3 linked regions of the Oryzias latipes genome follow. The main gene of each other region encodes a partner of the protein of the gene in region 2 in a complex. Links are inferred from orthologs where the notes say so. Each region holds a gene or a part of one and is shown on either strand. Other genes may lie near its edges.

Region 1 (7,150 bases), on a different chromosome or scaffold from region 2:
AATAAAGTACTCAAACTCTGGGCACTGCAGGAGAAGGCATAGTGCTAAAATTTATTTCAGGCTTTGACCAAAATTAGTACACTGCACACCTGGAGGGTTTCTTCTACTTGAGGTCAACATGATAGAGAGTGTGGTAAAAAGGTGTGGACAAGCACGTAAGGAAAGTGTCAGATGTGACAGGTGACCAAGGAGGATTAGCATGGATGAAAGAAAAAAGCAAAGAGATGAAACTACCACACAGAAATAACTTGGACCAGAAATAACCCAATTTTTAAAAATTGCTATGTCTGAACATCTTTTGATTTACTTTAAAAGCACTCCCGGTGGTCTTTTAATTATGCTTATATCATTTTTAGCCAACATTTTAAAAAATTGTGTCATTTTCTAGGACATAGTTTCAGCAAAGCGGCAGGAGCTCATCCGAAATTTCCCTCTACTATAGAAATTCTCAGAAATGCAAATTTGAGCTTTATTGTTGTTTTTATATATATTGTTATATATTTAATCTATATTATATATCCTCCGTCATCAGCAAAATGCCACAAGAACATGTTAAAAACACCAAAAACACAATTTTCATTGGAATGGAACTCTAAAGTAAATTTGATTCTATATAAGGTACAAACTCCAGACCTCCAGGCCACTTACTTGTATCAGCTACTTGCTGCATTTTTGCTTAAAGCAGTTGAATCACAATTTACTTAAAACTGTTATTTTTATTAGTTTTTGAAGAACTTTGACACACTTCTGCTTCATTCTGCATAAAAACTAAGAACTATAGGGATTTCCCTACAGAGAAGAGCTTTGTGAGACAATTGATTTGAATGTTTTCATTTCTTTGCTTGAATCATGAGTTTTTACACTGCAGAAGAGCAATGGTGTAGCAAACTGATTTGTCTTTTTAGAAAAACACTTTCTTCTTCGGTTCACACTTTGAGAGATTTCCTGCCAATGTCATCATCGAGACAGTTCAGAAGTGAATCATTTTTCCATGACAAGAGGTCTTCTGTCAAATTTCTGACACATTTCGGTGAAGAAACACTTATATTTTTTCACCTTCTAGTTTTGAGCGTCAGCCTTTCAATGCCGCACATAGCTTGTGCTCCGATTTCTGGTCATGATTATTCTTGGAAACATTATAATTGTGACCACCAGAGTTCTGCTGAAAAGCTGTTTAGAGAAGTGGAATGGCAAGTGTGTCCTCAATTTATCATGTGTTTGTTTTTTGTTAACAAACAATATAAAATATGCATATAAAAAGAATGAAGTGCGTTTAACTAAAAAAAGAGTAGTAAATTAAAAAAATGATGCAACAAGACTTCCATTACTACCAACAGCTTGCTCATTACTGTTATGAACAGGGTTGATAGTCACTTCTGTTATTTTTTGTGCCATGCAGTTTCCGTGTGGCTTTTTTGCCTTGAGAAACATAAAAATTGTAGCCATGGCAGTGATCTTTGCTCATACTCAGTACACGGTCTTTGTGCTCAGCACCCACCAGCTCTAGATTTGAAGAAAAAAATACAAACTTGCACAGCACTTTGCAGGCAATTAAGGAAACAGGAACTGTAAAAAGATTTCAATAAAAATGTGAAAAAAATGTGAAAAAATGAGAATTCCATTTCTTACTAGAGCAGTTTGGTTGTTTTTTCTTTTTTTACATATTATCGTGATTTACCAACAACAACTGCTTCTAGTCTTTATGGAGCTTTTCTTTAACAACTTGTAAGATTATGCAACAGAGTGGGAGAATACATGCAGGTTGAGGCTCATGTTTTATTTCTAATAAGTTTTAGACAGACATAGTTACAAACAGTTCAGAAATTTAGATTTATGACATTTGGCGTTATTTTTTCTTACCCTGGTTAATACAAAAATTGTCATCGGAGTTTAATCATGTTTTCAATTATTTAATGAACCCTTTCACATTGATTTTTAACTCCTTAATTTAAGGCAAGAATGGTTAATAACATTGTATTGATTATCCCCAGCAGATGATGTCTGAGAATGTGTAATGTTAAGAAACAAAAGCCCTATTTTTTAATTCTGCAGCAAATCCTTTACCAGCTAATAGAGAAAATAATAGATGTCACATAAAAAATATTGTGGATTAAATGCCTAAAGAGATATGTCTATGGTTATGTTATGGTTATTTTCACTGAACCAAAGGAGACCAAATTGACTGCAAATACACTGATGGATTCACAAAAACACCACAGCACCATCTACTGACGCAATGTAGCAACATCAAATGAACAGTAAAAGTAGTATAATAGATTGGTTTTCAACAAAAGACAGGGAGATATTTGTTAATCAGATCACTCGCAAAAACAAAAAATGATAACATAGAAACCAGCGTAGTATAGGAAACAATTCAACAATTGGGCCGACAACCAACAGAATCTTTTGCTGCTGTCATTTTTCGCATAGATGATCTTTGGAAAACAAATCAGTAGATTATATCTTTTACTTTGACACATGGAAGGCCTTAAAACAGAGAAATATATAATGTGACTGGAAAAATAAGATTGTTTTTTTTCTTAAAGGGATTAACCATTTTTTTCCCAACAGAGCAGCTGACAGCAGTAATTAAAAAAATGATTAACAGCATGACTCTGACATTATGTATGCCACAGTGCAGTGAAGGCATTTCTTGTAAATTATCCATTGCTTAAAAATATTCCTCTTCTTTAAAAAAATAATCAATTCTGATCTTTCTGTAAGAGCTTAAAGCACAACCTTCTGTTTGGAAATCAGCATTCAAGTAAGTAATCTGATATCAACTGTAGGCCATTCAACAACATAATGAATCAGCAACACATTTTTATACTTCCAAAAGGCTTTTTAAATCCATAAGTGGAGAAACATAACTTTACCGGTAATAGTTTTTTTTTTTTTTTTTTTTTTTTTTTTTTTGCAAAACAAAATAAAATTAATTTGAATTTGAATTTGAAAACAAAAAGAAAGCTTTAAAAAGCAAATTTTCCTTGAATTCTTGGAAATCGATGAAAAATCTCAGTTGGAATAATCCTGATTGCATCCTTGCATTAAACCTGTTTTGAAATGATAAAAACACATTAGTTCTTTTATATTTGGTTTGATCCTAAGAATTTTTTAAAACAAGCACGAAATTTACCATTTTATTTTGGCATAATAATATCACATTTATAAAATACTACTACTACTACTACTACTACTACTACTACTACTACTACTACTACTACTACTACTACTACTACTACTAATAATAATAATAATAATAATAATAATAATAATAATAATAATAATAATAATAATAATAATAATAAACTATTACACTGTTTAACACATAAAATTATTTGGGAAGATTAACCAATCACAAAGCTGTGATGGTTGAGGAAAAAATAGTAAAATAGTCTAGCGGGGGTTTAATAATGCGCATGCTCACACACAGAGGCGGAGCTAAGGTTCACGTCATACCTAAGATTGCTGCTCTCAGTAAAAAGGTAAATTAACAACAATAACAGTTTTGGGGCTACTTTTATCCCCTCTGTACGTCTTTAGTGGCTTCTGTGTTTTCTTTATTTGTGGTTCAGGAAGTATACATTAACAGCTTAACTGTTAACTTATTTATTTTTTAAAGATTGTACCCAGGTTATTTTGCTAACCGGCAATAGCTAGCTAATCCGGCTAACGTTATCTAGTAGTAGTTAGCTGGGCACCTTCGTCTAAGCTAACGTTGGCTTTTTGTTACCTCAGTCACCTCCTGCTCCGTTCGTACATTCTGTACTTCCTTTACTTAGAAAACGTTCTTTTTTGATACATCCTGGTACATTTTGACTTGGGGCTTTAAAGATAGTTTATGAATTAAATTGTAACGCGTGGAATAAAATAATCGTGATTTCAAATGAATTATGACTATGCGTTAGTGTGGTAATGATTAGGAACTACTTTTAAAACATATTTAAAGTTTATTTTTTTTAAACGAATTAGTCTAATTTTTTATGTGGAATATTTATTTTTCCGACCGACTCAATTTAAGTGAAAGCTTAATTTAAAATGAAAAGGAAATGTTATTCGATCCTCAATTAATGTTTGATGAATTATATTGCTGTGTTACTGTTATCCATGCCACAATAGTTGTAAAACTAAGAAAACCACACGATTTTATAGAAAACAACTAACGCTGTAGGTCTGACATATTAACTCGTTCTATCAATAATCCGGTTGCCAGTTTGTAGAATATTGATTTTGATTAAAAAAATTGTTGGAACAAATGAAAAGTTGGTGCTTTGCTTCCTGTTAAAATAGATTTGCAGTTTCACTTTTTTCATCACGTGGTTTCCCAGAGCTAGACTGGTTGTGAGGAGGGGGGGGGGGGGGTGTCAGTATTTAGTCTTAAACTACTTTCATGCAGTGCTTTAAAGAAGCATAAAATACTCACTACTATGCTATTTAGACTCGACTGTTGTTAGTGGACTGTTAATAAAGCACTATACTTGGAAACATCTCTGTTGTTCAGATGCAGTTTATATGCATGTTTGTAGTATTGGTGACTTTTTGTTTGGTTGTCTGCTGGTGTAGCCCATCTGCTTCTAGTCTTCTGTTTGTGTTAACATGACATGGAATTGATTTACCGGTAGTCATGTTTCCATTAACGCTTCAGCTCATGTCATCTATTATACTTTATTACAACATTCTGTACGAGTAGATCACTTTCTAAATGTGAAAAATGTCTTCAAAAATTTTGGAATGAACAGAAAATAAAATCCCATTGTTGTTACAGTGTGTGCTTTTCCGCTTTGTTTAGCTCTCAGGAGCTCACCATCACCAGTGAAGCTGTATAAGCATCGGGTTGACGGGATTGAGGAAAGCAGCGCGTTGTATGTGGAGCTGCCTGTTGAAATCGCCATGAGTTACAAACCTATTGCTCCTGCGCCGTCTGGGTCCAATCACACTCCACCAGGTAACCTGTGGTCCGGGTTGAACCTATGATGATCAACCTGTTGGTTTCCACTAAGTTGTTTTTTTTCTTCAGGCTCTTCGGTCCCCTCGCCGTCTCTACCCTCGTCATCCAACTTCAGGCCAGTCTTCAGTGACTTTGGTCCCCCATCTATGGGCTTTGTTCAGGTTAGTGTCTTGCGCTTTCAAACTCATAAACAATTTTTCATTTTAATTATGTTTCATATGCAATCAAAAGAATACTTTTAACCCCTGTGCTATCCTATGGGTTCAAAATGACCATTGACATGTCATCCCTACCATGACAAAGGTGGATAAAGGTGGAAAGATTTCATGTAATCCATGGACACCAGTGAAGATCACAAATCATTGAAGAAAAATGGTTCAGCGCACTGTCTAGTGGGTCTAGATGACCCAACTCCCAATGTCAAATTGTCTAGGATAGCACAAGGGTTAAAAGAAATAGGGACTTGCAATGTTGGATGTGTTGTTGATTTGATGACAGCACTGCATATCTAAATGTTCCTGGTTATCTTCCTGCAGCATCCAGGAGCTCAAACTGAGTAACTGTATTGCAAGGAAATTTTGTTGTTGTGAAGAATTGCGTTCCTTTCTTGAAGTGCTTACTGTCTTCTAAATATAATGTGAACAAATAGAGTTTTTGTTTTGTAAATACAAGGTGATTTGATCAGGCAACGCTGTATGATATTAATTCATTCATTTAAGGATTTAAAAGAATTTTTTTATTTTATAAGTAAATTATTACCGGTACTTCATTTCATTCATATGATTTTATAAATGTAAAAGCTTTGTCCTAATTTAGGCTCTTCTTTGGTAAACAGTTGCACTGATAGTTTAAAGAATCATTTTAAATGTGATTGTAAAAGGCTAGCAAAGAACTTTTGAAAATGTGCACCGTTAAAACACTTTCTTTTTTTTTTTTTTTTTGAAAAAGGGAAATCAAAAGTTGTTTTTAATAATTCTGATTCAAGAAGACTATTTAAAAGGACCGTTGACTTTGTGATTATTGATGCGATTAAAAAAAAAAGTGAGAAGTGTATTCTCAGAATTGTTATTAAATGAAGCATCTTGTGGTGTTGTGCACACACTTGGTTTGCTTAAAGGGAACCAGAGTTTGTTTATTAATTCAGCGTACCTTCTTAGCTGCCGTCTCATCAGTAAATGCCCTGCAGCGTGCTTCAGCCAGACCAAAGCAGCAAGAAAGGGTAAAAGTACCTGACGTTGATATAGACATTCAAAATTGGTCAGCAAAGTATAATGTTTAAATATGTGAGCTATCCTGACAATGTTTGCAAAGCTTAGGACTTCCATAATTTCTGCCTCTTGTTGCTTTGCCCCGCCCTCATAATTCCTGAAGAGATCCTCAGTTGTGCGCTTTTGTTGACAAGCTTTGGTATGAAACAGAAATGTCTGGTTGAAGGGCAAACGCAAGGTTTAGGACTCGATCTGGATCAAATTAAACAGGCAGTCTGGACCAACTGACTTTTCCAGTTTGAATACATCCTTTATTTGATCCCAAGTGCTTCTAGTTTAACACATCTCTGTTTCTGTATGTAGAGGTTTACTTCCTTTTGCAACAAGTTATTTTTGTTTTACTTTGGTCAAGGGAATGTGTCTCCCTGGTTAATAAATGTATCCTCCTTATCTGAACCGACATCATTTAGGTTGTATAACGGTTTCAAACCTACAAGAAAGTTAGAATCACTTCATTGCATGTCGTCGTGGATATTATGTCAGCAGAAAGTCACCCTTTCAACATTACTATATGAATTATTCTGTTAGTGTACATCATGTGCATTTTATTATTCTTTAAAACTTCCCATTTCTGAAAATCCTCAGCCTGTCAAAGTGTCCCAGGGGTCCACCTACAGCGAGCTCCTGTCCGTCATCGAGGAGATGAGCCGCGAGATCAGGCCGACATATGCTGGGAGCAAGAGTGCAATGGAAAGGCTAAAGAGAGGTACTTTCTTTGTGACCAACATTATTCTGCTCCATGCAGGTACCAGTTATCATTTCTGATTAGTTGTTTTTTTTTTCCTCTCTCTTGATGTTCTACTATAACAGACATATTCTCTTTTCAGATTTGTAGGGGTGTTTTTTGTAAATATGTGCTTCCTATCATTTCAAATTTGTGAATTAAAATCCCGACTCCTCTCTTGCAGGTATCATCCACGCTCGTGCACTCGTC
Region 2 (6,056 bases):
GATTGATGAGATGCTCGCCTGAACAGTCTAGACCAGGATCACATGAATACTCATTGAAGGTCTGAAAGAGCAAAGTGGACATAAATGTACACAAGGACTCAATATTTACACCCAGAATAAAGTAAAAACTCATTTATTGTTTGACGACCATTTGTGTTTGTAAAGATATCGTTGGATTTCTCACTCAAACACTTTTTAAGCTAAACGCTATATCATCAGCAAATGCAGGAAAACACTTTTTACACAAGTGATGGACGGAAATCAAGCAAATGAGAACGATAGTATGTGTTTCTATGCTTTGTTGTGCTTCGTTGTGTTTCTGTGCTTTGTTGTGCTTCGTTGTGTTTCCGTGCATCGTTGTGTTTCTGTGCATCGTTGTGCTTCAGTGTGTTTCTATGCTTCATTGTGCTTCGTTGTGTTTCTGTGCTTCGTTGTGCTCTGTTGTGCTTCGTTGTGCTTCGTTGTGTTTCCGTGCTTCGTTGTGTTTCCGTGCTTCGTTGTACTCTGTTGTGCTTCGTTGTGTTTCCGTGCTTCGTTTTGTTTCCGTGCTTCGTTGTGTTTCCGTGCTTCGTTGTGTTTCCGTGCTTCGTTGTGTTGCCGTGCTTCGTTGTGTTGCCGTACTTCGTTGTATTTCTGTGCTGCGTTGTGTTTCTGTGCTGCGTTGTGTTTCCGTGCTTCGTTGTGTTTCCGTGCATCGTTGTGTTTCTGTGCTTCGTTGTGTTTCCGTGCTTCGTTGTGTTTCCGTGCTTCGTTGTGTTTCCGTGCTTCGTTGTGTTTCTGTGCTTCGTTTTGTTTCCGTGCTTCGTTGTGTTTCCGTGCTTCGTTGTGTTTCTGTGCTTCGTTGTGTTTTGTGTGATGCATTGTGTTTCTGTGCTGCATTGTGTTTCTGTGCTGCGTTGTGTTTCTGTGCTTCGTTGTGTTTCTGTGCTTCGTTGTGTTTCTGTGCTGCGTTGTGTTTCTGTGCTGCGTTGTGTTTCTGTGCTGCGTTGTCTTTCTGTGCTTCGTTGTGTTTGTATGCTTTGTTGTGCTTCATTGTGCTTCGTTGTGTTTCCTTGCTTCGTTGTGCTTCGTTGTGCTTCATTGTGCTTCGTTGTTTCTGTGCTTCGTTGTGTTTCTATGCTTTGTTGTGCTTCATTGTCTTTCCTTGCTTCGTTGTGCTTCGTTGTGTTTCCGTGCTTCGTTGTGTTTCCGTGCTTCGTTGTGTTTCCGTGCTTCGTTGTGTTTCCGTGCTTCGTTGTGTTTCCGTGCTTCGTTGTGTTTCCGTGCATCGTTGTGTTTCTGTGCATTGTTGTGCTTCAGTGTGTTTCTATGCTTCATTGTGCTTCGTTGTGTTTCTATGCTTCGTTGTGTTTCCGTTCTTCGTTGTGTTTCCGTGCATCGTTGTGTTTCCGTGCTTCGTCGTGTTTCCGTGCTTCGTCGTGTTTCCGTGCTTCGTTGTGTTTCCGTGCATCGTTGTGTTTCCGTGCTTCGTCGTGTTTCCGTGCTTCGTTGTGTTTCTATGCTTCGTTGTGTTTCCGTGCTTCGTTGTTTCCGTGCATCGTTGTGTTTCCGTGCATCGTTGTGTTTCCGTGCTTCGTCGTGTTTCCCTGCTTCGTTGTGTTTCCGTGCTTCGTCGTGTTTCCGTGCTTCGTCGTGTTTCCGTGCTTCGTTGTGTTTCCGTGCATCGTTGTTTCCGTGCTTCGTTGTGTTTCCGTGCTTCGTTGTGTTTCTATGCTTCGTTGTGTTTCCGTGCTTCGTTGTGTTTCCGTGCATCGTTGTGTTTCCGTGCTTCGTCGTGTTTCCGTGCTTCGTCGTGTTTCCGTGCTTCGTTGTGTTTCCGTGCTTCGTTGTGTTTCCGTGCATCGTTGTGTTTCCGTGCTTCGTCGTGTTTCCGTGCTTCGTTGTGTTTCCGTGCATCGTTGTGTTTCCGTGCTTCGTCGTGTTTCCGTGCATCGTCGTGTTTCCGTGCTTCGTTGTGTTTCCGTGCTTCGTTGTGTTTCCGTGCTTCGTTGTGTTTCCGTGCCTCGTTGTGTTTCCGTGCTTCGTTGTGTTTCTGTGCTTCGTTGTGTTTCTTTGCTTCGTTGTGCTCTGTTGTGCTTCGTTGTGCTTCGTTGTGTTTCCGTGCATCGTTGTGTTTCCGTGCTTCGTTGTGTTTCCGTGCTTCGTTGTGTTTCCGTGCATCGTTGTGTTTCCGTGCTTCGTCGTGTTTCCGTGCATCGTCGTGTTTCCGTGCTTCGTTGTGTTTCCGTGCTTCGTTGTGTTTCCGTGCTTCGTTGTGTTTCCGTGCATCGTTGTTTCCGTGCTTCGTTGTGTTTCCGTGCTTCGTTGTGTTTCCGTGCATCGTTGTGTTTCCGTGCTTCGTCGTGTTTCCGTGCATCGTTGTGTTTCCGTGCTTCGTTGTGTTTCCGTGCATCGTTGTGTTTCCGTGCTTCGTCGTGTTTCCGTGCATCGTTGTGTTTCCGTGCTTCGTTGTGTTTCCGTGCATCATTGTTTCTGTGCATCGTTGTGTTTCCGTGCTTCGTCGTGTTTCCGTGCATCGTTGTGTTTCCGTGCTTCGTTGTGTTTCCGTGCATCATTGTTTCCGTGCTTCGTTGTGTTTCCGTGCATCGTTGTGTTTCTGTGCATCGTTGTGCATCGTTGTGTTTCTGTGCATCGTTGTGCTTCATCGTTGACATTGTCATCCACGATCATGTGTTCGGTTTCCTTCTAGCTGTTCTGTCCTTTAGTCACAGCCTTTCTTTAATGGTGAACTGGAGTCACATTCTCTTCTTTTCTGTGTTCCTGCAGCCATTTCTGCTCCGCTGAAGCTGAAGGCGTCCAGAGGACCGCCAACGCCCATCAACAGGAACCAGGCCAGCCAGCCGCGAGTAGCCCAAAGCCTGCTGGGAAAGAGAGGCTTCGACAGCGTCAGTGCTCCTCCCACACACCACACTTTCTCTTTCCATTGAAAACATCCCTCAATGATTTCTGCAGAGATGGGTTTCTAACCTGTGATGTCACGTGTCAGGCAGCCATACTTATTATTTTCCACCATCATTTTCAAATAAATTCTTTATAAATCAGACAACTTGATTTTTCTGGGTTTTGTCTCTCATAGCTGAGGTTTACCTTTGATGAAAGTTACAGGCCTCCCAGTCTGTGGCTGACTGAATACTTTTTGCCCCACTGGCCATGAAACGGTGGTGGAAAGCCTCACATTTGGCTATGCCTCATGCTAAATTCTTGCACACAATTGTGTATAAACTACGTAAAAGACGCATAAACTGAATACTTCTCAACCGACCAAAAATTCTGAACAGCTAAAAACTGAATTCACGTAAAAACTGTCATCCACTAATGTGTGTCTTTCCACGTTTGTCTAACAGACTTTTCATGCATGAACCACTGATGTGTAACTTTTAGATCACGTATACGGCGCACAGATCACGTTCAGATGACATCATTGATGCATGAATCACTGATGAATTACAGAGAAACATCACAATAATCACACGGTTCATGTTCTACGTTGGTTTACTTGTTCTTAAAAAAAATTACATACAGTTATTATACAAAAAATGTTATTTATTGATAACTTTATAATTTTATTCTGATATTTGACTAAGATCTGAATCTAATCACATAAACCATCTGTACTTTTGGTCTGATAGTACAACAGGCAGTCAGTACTATAATAGTCTTCACCTGTACTTTCAATCCAAGAGTTTGGTAGAGCAGTAATGTAGTGGTCTGTAAAGGTTGTGTTGTGTTGTGGGGTTGCAGGCGGCGGGGGCGGCGTTCCCAGCCAACGGACGGCCGTACACATCAGGGATGAGAACCACCTCCCAGTCGGTCATCAAGCGGCAGAAGGTCAGCCAGGGTGAGGCTCCCAACCCCGTTGTGTTTGTCGCCACAAAGGACACCAGGTACGTCACTAGAGGAGCGTTGACTGTAGACAAGGATTCACAAATGTCACACAACACACTGCACACACAGGAACCCGAAAATCTTCTGTAGTGTTCCCTCGCTTTAGCTCGCCGTCCAGCTGTTTCACAAATCTGATCTGCATGTTTTGTGAAGTGTTCTTTCTTGTGGCGTGTGCATGTCCTCCTCCTCCTCCTCCTCCTCCTCCTCCTCCTCCTCCTCCTCCTCCTCCTCCTCCTCCTCCTCCTCCATACGGAAGCATTTCTGTAGCAGAATGAAAAATAAGTCCACACCAGAAATGCTTCCATAGGTTCCTGTGTGGGTTTTGGTGCTTCGTAGGTGATTTGGTGTCTGGAAAACGTCTCGTCGGTCCAGAGCGTACCCCACCCTCACCCATCAATAAGATGGGCTTCTGCGACCTCTTGACCCCAAAACTGTGCAGAATTCATTCCAAATCGATCTTTGTTTTCACTCTATAGTCCTGGACTAGTGTCTGAGAAAAGGGAATAAAATGTTTAGGGAGGAGTTTCACGGCCTTAAGACGACTGCTTCGTTTTTATGACGTCACCTCCGCTGTAAATGAGGGAACACTGTACGAAAGAGGACACTCCAGCACACTTATGGAACTCCAACCTAATATCATTTAAAGGTTAAAAAGAAAAACAAGTCAATTCATGGGGTTTTGTTGACCTTTTTACACTAGAATCCATCTCCCTGACAGACACACACTGGTAGTTGTTGAGTTTCTCCTCTGTTTACAACATTGCTGCTATAGAAATGAACACAACTCACAGTAAAGGATGATGACCCCCATCTACAGCAGAGCCTCAGCGTTTGCATCCTTTCCACCGTCGCTCACACGGTTACCGTAGTTCTGAGGCGTGGATGTGCCTCGCTTTATGAAAGCTGTGTCACTTTAGCTCGTATGTGAAAGGTCAGCTGATCCGTCGCGTAAACAAAGATTCCCGTTAGGTCAGAGAGGGCGATGCGGGGGCGACTTCTCTGCTGTTGGAGGGGTAGAGCGGGGGCGTTACCCAAAGCGGGGGTCAGGTTTGACACACGGCTGACGTACATGTGTGTGTGTTTCTCCATCAGGGCCCTCAGGAAGCACCTGACCCAGTCCGAAATGCGCAGAGCAGCCAGAAAGCCCCACCTCCTGGTCCGGATCAAGCTACCGCCGCCGCCGCCCCGCTCCGTGCCCCTGCTGCCCTCCAGCACCAGCGAGACTATCGTCCTGGAGGACTGAAGGGGGGCGGGTGGAGTTCCTGAGGGTGGGGGGGGCTGTGTTCACAATTGTCTTATTCCCCCTGATTTTAGTCCCGTTTTTATTCTTGACCCTTTATTCCATCCCTCAGTGAGACAGACTTTTCTAGCATACCTTTTCTCTGTCACGCACACACGCGTACGTAGATGCACGCCGACACGCCCCGCCGCCGGGGTTTGGGGCCGTTCGACGGCAGATCATCCTCCTTTTTTTATGTCCCCCGTTTTAATGTATAATTTAATGCAGAGTATCTTGTTTTGAAGCCACGGTGGGAGAGAACGCCGTCTTCACGCTTGGGTCTGACGCGGCGATGCCGGTCATGAGGCAGCAGGGGGGGGGGCATCAGATGTTTCCCTTCAGTATTTCAGCGGTTCGGACCCCAGACCACATCCAGACCCACAGACCCGTTTCACATACGTCTCTCGTCTTTGCAGCTTCCTTTACGTGGAAGCTTTGAAAACGTCAGAATAGCGCCTAGAAAAGAGATTTAGCAGAACGGAGTCGATGTTTTTTAGTGCGCACAGCAAGTTGTGCCCACTGAAACAAACTGAGGGCTGAGTGTCGGATCATATCCGTGTTTTCTGTCCCGGATCTCCAGCACCATCAGTGGGCTTAGCGACCCTTTAGAACTGGTCTAGCAGGTCCACACGTGTTTTTTTAGACATGCCAGTCTACAGACTTTCTTAGCTGATGTGTTTTTTTTAGTACAGGGTGTGTCCGACCCGTCATTCTCAAAGTCTGGACCAGCTGCTGGAGTCGGACCGGCGGCGTCACGCTCCAACACTCGGACTCTAAAGGATCCGTTTACCTGCTTTCCACGCCGGTGTTTTTTGGTACTTTGCTTCATTTTGCTAAGAAACCCAAAAAAAAAAGTCTCACTGCCACACAGAAGACGGGGTTCAGAACGGCG
Region 3 (7,251 bases), on a different chromosome or scaffold from region 2:
GAAAGATGGATGAAAGAAATGCATTTGGCACATCCTTCCCTCCGCCGTGAGTTGCAAAAGGTCAAAACAGACCGAACGCCATGAAAAGAGGAAAATAAAAACACTAAAAAATAAAATCAAATAAGAAAACCTGATCTAGTTTTGTACATGTCATGCATAGTCTACAGTTAACCGATGGGCCCGTTTGCATGCAAAAAGAAGGATTTTGAAGGGAAATGGAAAACTAAGATCAGTGAAGTTGAATGTCGACCTTTTCTTTTGTTTCACAAACAACTCAGACATGATTGACAGCCGTTGGGAGGCGTTCAGGTTGTTGCTGCTCGTTTCTCTTATCGTCGCCCTTTATCTCTAGGAGTTTGCCTCTCCGCCTTTTCTTCATCGACTTCCTCCCAACCGAGAAAAATGCCATGCAGGTTGATTTTTCCGTTTGCTTTTGGGTGACGTGTGGTTCTTCTCGGAGGGGGAAGGCGCGTCTGCGGCTAGGACCTGGCGTTCCTCTCCGTCTCCGCCAAGCATTCCCGCACCAGTCCTCTGGCGTGGATTATTCCTGCCCAGAGGGATGGGGTTTATTCGGCTGAAACCCAAAGGAAAGCGTTCAAAGCGGGACATACCTCGTTTCAGCCTCTCCATGGCGCTCTTGCTTCCAGCATACGTGGGCCTGATTTCCTTCCCGAGTTCTTCGATGATGGCGAGCAGCTCTGCATATTTGTTCTGAGGCACTTGACTGCCGGTGGAGCCCTGGAGTTTAGAAAAAACAACAACAAAGGAAGTTCTCTTCTGATAACAAAATAAAAGCTGCAGCTTTGATCTTTGGCCTTTGATATTTGGGGCGGGTCACCGTACAGGTGAGACCTTCGTTGCCCTTATCCGCCCGTGAGGGCAGTTGTGAATAACAGCTGAACGACCCGTTTTATCGGGACTTTCAAAATAAGATGCACGCATTTCCTGGGAGCCCCAAACAACCATCTCAGAGTTCTCTGGTGTTTTTATTTACCAACTTTCAAACTTTAATGGTACCGTTTGAATATTGGCCAGGAGAAAACAAGTGGAAACCAGCGGTTTGTCAAAGATCCAGACGCAGAACCGTTCTTCATCAGACAAGGACGTTAGCTTAACGGAAACCAGCGTGAAACACGTGCGGAAACAGGTGTTTTCTGCGCTTTAACATCTGCTTTTTATTATTGAGGCCTCAACTAAAGTAGGTGGAGCCTGGCGGCCCCTATGTCCAAAACGATTGACAGGTTTTCAGGTGGTAGGGGTGTGGCCTTCGGATAAGCTCCACCCCTGATTGGTGAGGGTGGTTGCCACAGAAACAAGGACTCACTACAAAAAAATAAAAAATGGAGAATTGAACCATTGTCGATGGATGTGGTCACACTCAGCCCAGGTCTCAGGTACAGTCAGCGGTAGAGCCGCCGCCACCGCGTTTCCACGAGCGCCAACAGAAACCCTGAAAGACTCGCCACACCTCTGACGAGGGTTGGGAAGAAGAAGATGTTTCTGCGGCGTCTAAAGGCGGAGCTCACCTGTGAGAATCCCAGAGATGGAGGTCCGTAGTCGCTCAGCAGGGGTCTGTAGGACTGCAACGTGGCCAGGTTAGCCGCCGAGGCCGACTGAAGGTTCCCAACTGCAGGCAAAACATCCGCATCATGAAAGATGATACAAGAAGACTGTACTTCTGTTCTTTCACTGCTAAAATATACCAAACATGGAGCCCGTTTGTCTGACATTGGTGACACAAAAACAACCGATTCAGAGCTTTCTATCAAATATTTTGTTTGATTTGAATTATTTTAGTCCTAAACGCAGCAGAATCATAAACACACATCTGTAGTTTGGTTTCCTCACACGTGTGCGTCAAAACCCCAAAAAGCCGTTTACGGAACAGCGAGGCTGAAAGCCGTCCCTGCATTTGCTGACGATGGATGAGGATTTTAGAGAAATATTACCTTTGTAGAAACAGAAACTTTGGTTTACTTGGTAAAATGAGAGAAAAAAAAAACATCCGCTAGTCATTTTAGAAAGTACGGACATCCAAAAAATGATCACAGATGAATTTTTATGATTATTTTTAACTTTTAGGCTCTGATAAATGCAAAAGACTTGACCACATGACCTCCACACCATCCGTCTTTAAAATGAAGCTCAACTCATTAATGAAGACAAACTATTTTAAAAATGGCGGCTTTCATGCTGGTTTTATCTCCATAGCAACCATTTCCTTTTTTGGTCCCCTGGGGGTGGCGAATCCGTCGATGTAATTTGTAGAAAAATTGGCAAAAGTAAACTTTTGGATTTCCTTGGCAACGGAGGTTTATCATTAACCACGCCCCCATTCCTAATGTGGTTTTATTGTATATCATATTGTTTCATTCAGCTTGACGCAAGGAATTAATGTATTCAATTTCCACAATATTCTGGTAAGAAATGCGCGACCAACAGGGGAACGCCAGTTTTGCGAGCTCGCCCCGCCAACACCGTTCCAAATCTTTAAACTTTAAAAACCAACATTTTTCCCCCCATGTAGGTTCAAAATGATGAGTAACGATAGATCAAAATCCCCAGGAGGACTTTAAATTTGTAGACGGCGATTTTTTATTTTTATTTAAGCCCCTTCAAAGGTCAACGAAACTTTGGTTGTAGACTGAAGCTAGCAGGGAAACCTGGTGAGGATCGCTTGAGCTAAAAGTTTATTTTCCCATTTTGAGGGAAAATAAGGAAATCGCCAGATTTCAAACCACAAAAGTGTGTCCCAGACTGCTGCAGGACACACTGATCATGTAATGTTTGATAATGTTTATGGATTTAGAATGTGAAGACAAAAGACGAATGAATAATTACAGATATTGTCACTGGTTCATGCATTACTGTATATATCAATACAATAGTATGAAAAGTGCATCATTCTGACTCTAAAATCAGGAAATAAAATTAAGTTGTTGCTAAATAAGAGTGAATTAGTCATTAAAAAATCTGAATACTAATTAATAGGTGTGAAATTGTTAAATGAAAAAAATAATGAAAACAATTCAGTATTTTCCACGATGTATCACTAAATTAAAGGTTTTCTTTGTTGTTTTTTGGCTCCATGAACTCCAGCCTGCCTCCTGCGCCTGCAGTATCGGCCCCGACCGGCAGGTGTCCTCGAAGAGGCAGAAACTCCTCCGAGGCGGATCAATCGAGCAGCTCCGACCGAGGAGCATCATGGAGGAAACGGAACAAGGCTGGCTCAAGAAGACATAACCGATACATTTTTGTCACCGTGTAACGGCACCCGCCGGGCGGGACCGCGACCCCGGACGGCGGGGAACCCCGTTTTCGGAAGCGCCGCGCGCTCGTTTCTCATCCCCGCCGTGTTTCCGCGCCGACTCGACCCGCGGATGGCGCCCTTTTACATTAGTAATAATGGCGGATATGAATTAGCCTAGCTCCCAGGATCTGACCCTATATATATAACTGGACAAAAACTACAGACACAGTCTTTCTCCAGGTATTCTCCGAGACCCCGAATTTAACGCTCGATGTAGCGGGCGGGTAGTTGGCTTTTGACCGCCGTTTTGCTCTTACCCTGGTTCCCTGAAGTTCCCGGAATGTGCTGATGGACGTTGGGTTTGTAAGACATTCCCAAAGACATTGTAAATTAAAGAAATAAAAATGACCCGAAATTCAGTGAAGCGTCTGTCTCTCACTTTTTGTTTACAACAGCGGCACCGGCAAATATGGCCGTCACTTTATATTGACACCCACTGGGTTTCCAGAGCCGCTGCCATCCGCGCGGCACAAAACCACTTTTTAAACATCTTTTTACACATCTAGCGCACGCGCGCGGCGTCGCGCGCGCGCTTATGTGACATTTAACCCAAAGTTTGCTCCAAAAAAAAAAAAAAATATTTTTTTTTTTTTTAAGGTTTCAAGATTAAAACCACTTGAAGGTTTTAAACTCAAACCTTCTTAGTTTTTGTTTTACACTTTTTTTTTTTGGAAGTTTTGATGAATGAACTTAAATAAATCCACCACGCGTTTGGTGCACGCGCGGGTTTGGAATTGCTTGCAGGGAAATAAGGGGGACTGGTACCTGCTTTGGTCTGGGGAACCAGAACCCCCTCCCCCCCAGAACCCACACCAGTCTTTATATCCCATCAGGCCCCGCTGCCCACATGGTGGCCCCCCGGTACCGGCTGGGTCCCCCACATCTTCGCCATTCAGAAATGTTTCCAGAAGAAAAAAAAAAATGTAGTTTTTGACTTTTATTTTAATCATCTGTTAAATAATCCAATGTTAACTTGCTGGGAAATATTAAAAAAAATTAAACATTTCCCATCATCCTTTTCATGTTTTTTTAAATATCACTATTTAAGACAAATTTTATGTTTCGTATGATGTTAAAGTGAATAAAAGTAAGATTTTAAAATGTTTTGAAAGTTTACTTGAAATATTTAAATTTATTGCACAAATGAATAAAAGCTTGGAAAAATATTTAATTTCTAATTTATTTAAAAATTACATTAAAACCTATATAAAATTAGAGTTTTTGATATTTTGCATTTTATTTTTTTCTTTTACATATTTTAGTAACCAAATTTTGGTCAATTTTTTTTTTTTTTACAATGTAAAAGTAAACAAAAATACTTTAAAATAAGTACATTTCCTCAGGTTAATTCTTATTCATTGCTCAAATAAAAAAGAAATCTTTAAAAAATATTTTATTTTTAAAGAAATCTTTAAAAAATATTTTATTTTTAGTGATTAACATTGTGTTTGTCTTAAGTTTATTCTGTAACTTAAGTTTAACCTAATTTAGGTCAAATATCTTCATTTAGGATAAAAATAAGCCTTAAATTTACTGAAAGTTTGTGTCAGATGTCAAAAATAATTTCAAATTTAAATACCGCTTTATATCCAACATCACATTGTTTAAATCTACTTTTACTTCCCAGCCTTTTAGTGTATTTTATGTAATAATTTTAGATAAATCAATTAAATTAGAGCACAAAATAATGAGTTTTTACAAAATCTCATTGCTAAAATAAAAACAGTGACAGAAAATCAAAAAAAAAATCAAACATTTTTCTTTTAGATTTCTTCCAGTTTTGCTCACAGAAATTTAACTGAAGTCGTCTAAACATCGACTTTTTCTTGACAAACAGCAGCTTCACTGAAGCACCAAAGCTAGACGTAAATGGAGCTTTATTGAGCATTGCACTCGTTCATATACACGTCCCGTCAGTAGTGCATGGCGAGCAGCGGCGCTGTTCCCGTTGAACACAGCGAGACCCTCAACGCTCCGCCATCCGTGCCGCTGTCCACCAAGGTGCACATTCAAGTTCCAACAGACGACTTCAAAATGTACAAATAATCCAGACGTCAGTAAAGCAGAGGTTGCTCATCCACAGGTTGAGGTTGCATTTTAATAAGGCGCCGAATAGACCCCCCCACACACACACACACACCCCCTTCAGGCTCGCCATTCCAGTGCAAATCTGATGACACGATGGGCGCCACACGTTAGCGCTGAAGCCGTGTGAGGACGCCAGCTGAACATGCACGCCACAGGGAGGGATTCTGGGTCTTTGTACTGACGGAACCCCGAGCAGGTCCAAACTAAAGCAACGACCCGAGTTCTGCACACCTCTAGGCGATTGCTCGGAACCTCGGATCGGCCAAACGATGACAAAATAAAAGCCTGGGGGTGGGGGGGTGAAGGGTCACGGAGTGCGGCGTCCTGAAAGCGGAGGAAACTCTCGAGAAGGAACAGAAACGGACCAAAAATATACAGAAACAAAGTCAAATATACATTTTTGGAGAGAATCTCCGTCACTAGAACACGCTTCCATCTTTAAGTCTTCATTGAATGACGGCTTTAACACAAAATGCCCTTAAATGTCTGCCGCGGCGCCGCCTCAGGGATCCTGACAGAACTACGAAAACCCTGAACAGACGGAGACCAAGGCACGTTCCACGGACCGCCGCTGTCCTCCCCAAACACAAACTAAAGCCCGGACTGAAAACGGAGACGTTCTGCGGGAGGAACCAGATGGCGGTTATGTTTGGGCGTTTATGGAGAAGCAGGTCAGTTCCAGGGACCTTTACTGCAGCGGGGAGAAGTAACTTCCTGTCAGGTAGGCGGGTTCACATCTCGCCATGGATTGTAACGGAGCGTTTACTCGCAGTAGTTCTGGATTAGTCCCCGCCCCGGTCTGGACTGAACAGAAACTGGAACCACAAATCCGTGGCGCTCTGAATGTCAGAACGCCGTCGGAACCTCCAACAGGAGAACGGGGGCATCTGGAGGTCAGGAACAGAACTCTCTGCACGGTGCCCCTGACCCTCCAGGACGGCGGGGGGAGGGAGGGGGTTGTGAGAGGCAGCAGAGCCGAGGCCTGCAGAGACTTTGCCGCGCCGGAGGGGCGGAGCTGTGGGCGAAAGTGGCGGACTACGTGTTGAGGGCGTGGCTGAGACTCTGCGGGTGAAGCTGCTGCCTCTTCTGCTGCTCCTGCACCGCCAGCTGCTGGCTCTGGTCCGACGTGGACAGCTTGTTGATGAGCGGCGAGACGCAGTTCGCTGGAATGATCAGACCTGCGAGAGAAGAAGACGCCATCAGAGGTTCGCCGGGCGCCTCAGGTGTCTACTTTTGGGTTTTTGGCATCAGCAGACACGGTGGAGGTGCGACGCCCCCCGCAGACCCGGTGAAGACTCTCCTGCACCGACGGGGCGGTGAGGAAGCCTTTCAGGGAGAGGGAGGAGCTCAAACCACCAATTCAAAGAAAATCAGCAATTTTCAAAATAAAAGCACACACCTACAGGTTCTGCCGGATTCCTGGAGTCAAACGCCAAACTGCTGCAAAGGGCCTTAAAAATGTACGATTTTCAAAAAACATTCTGAAAAAAAAAGATGCAATTTAAAGAGTAATAAAAACTAAAGATTAAATTAATTGTTCTTCCTGCTGATGCAGTTTGTCCTCCAGGCTCCACATGTTTCCTGATTTAACAGCCGATTCAGTCAAAAGATGTAGCTGTTCAGTGCAAAGCATCATGGGTAATGCTTTTAACCTGCTGCACCATGCGGTGGAGGTTTAACAGACAAACTAACACCTTCGGGTTCCTCTACAAGACGCACATTTCTTTAAAGTGGGATCAAAACAGAAGAATTTCCTCTGAAAGGCACAGAAACCAGGAGCTGCAGCCAGCTGAGGGGGGGTCCCACGGGACCCCAGGGGGGGCTGCAGGTCACACCAGCGAATGCTTGAAGAA

Evidence for each region.
Region 1: mta2 (region 2) and cdk2ap2 share a complex: the UniProt entries of both Homo sapiens proteins name them as parts of the nucleosome remodeling and deacetylase (NuRD) repressor complex. The link is inferred for Oryzias latipes from reciprocal best matches to the Homo sapiens genes MTA2 and CDK2AP2.
Region 3: mta2 (region 2) and cdk2ap1 share a complex: the UniProt entries of both Homo sapiens proteins name them as parts of the nucleosome remodeling and deacetylase (NuRD) repressor complex. The link is inferred for Oryzias latipes from reciprocal best matches to the Homo sapiens genes MTA2 and CDK2AP1.

The regions. Positions count from the first base shown.
Region 1 is NC_019859.2:13,713,957-13,721,106, forward strand, and holds the start of cdk2ap2 (cyclin-dependent kinase 2-associated protein 2), read left to right. Parts: upstream 1-3,385; 5' UTR 3,386-3,485; intron 3,486-4,789; 5' UTR 4,790-4,890; coding exon 4,891-4,945; intron 4,946-5,017; coding exon 5,018-5,109; intron 5,110-6,801; coding exon 6,802-6,922; intron 6,923-7,124; coding exon 7,125-7,150. UniProt on the Homo sapiens protein: Acts as a component of the histone deacetylase NuRD complex which participates in the remodeling of chromatin.
Region 2 is NC_019876.2:29,094,818-29,100,873, forward strand, and holds part of mta2 (metastasis-associated protein MTA2), read left to right. Parts: intron 1-2,766; coding exon 2,767-2,885; intron 2,886-3,741; coding exon 3,742-3,884; intron 3,885-4,977; coding exon 4,978-5,128; 3' UTR 5,129-6,056. UniProt on the Homo sapiens protein: May function as a transcriptional coregulator. Acts as a component of the histone deacetylase NuRD complex which participates in the remodeling of chromatin.
Region 3 is NC_019870.2:2,595,234-2,602,484, reverse strand, and holds the start of cdk2ap1 (cyclin-dependent kinase 2-associated protein 1), read right to left. Parts: upstream 3,813-7,251; 5' UTR 3,635-3,812; coding exon 3,568-3,634; intron 1,628-3,567; coding exon 1,527-1,627; intron 739-1,526; coding exon 612-738; intron 548-611; coding exon 480-547; 3' UTR 1-479. Other genes in the region: sbno1 (protein strawberry notch homolog 1), read right to left, coding at 6,434-6,576. UniProt on the Homo sapiens protein: Inhibitor of cyclin-dependent kinase CDK2. Also acts as a component of the histone deacetylase NuRD complex which participates in the remodeling of chromatin.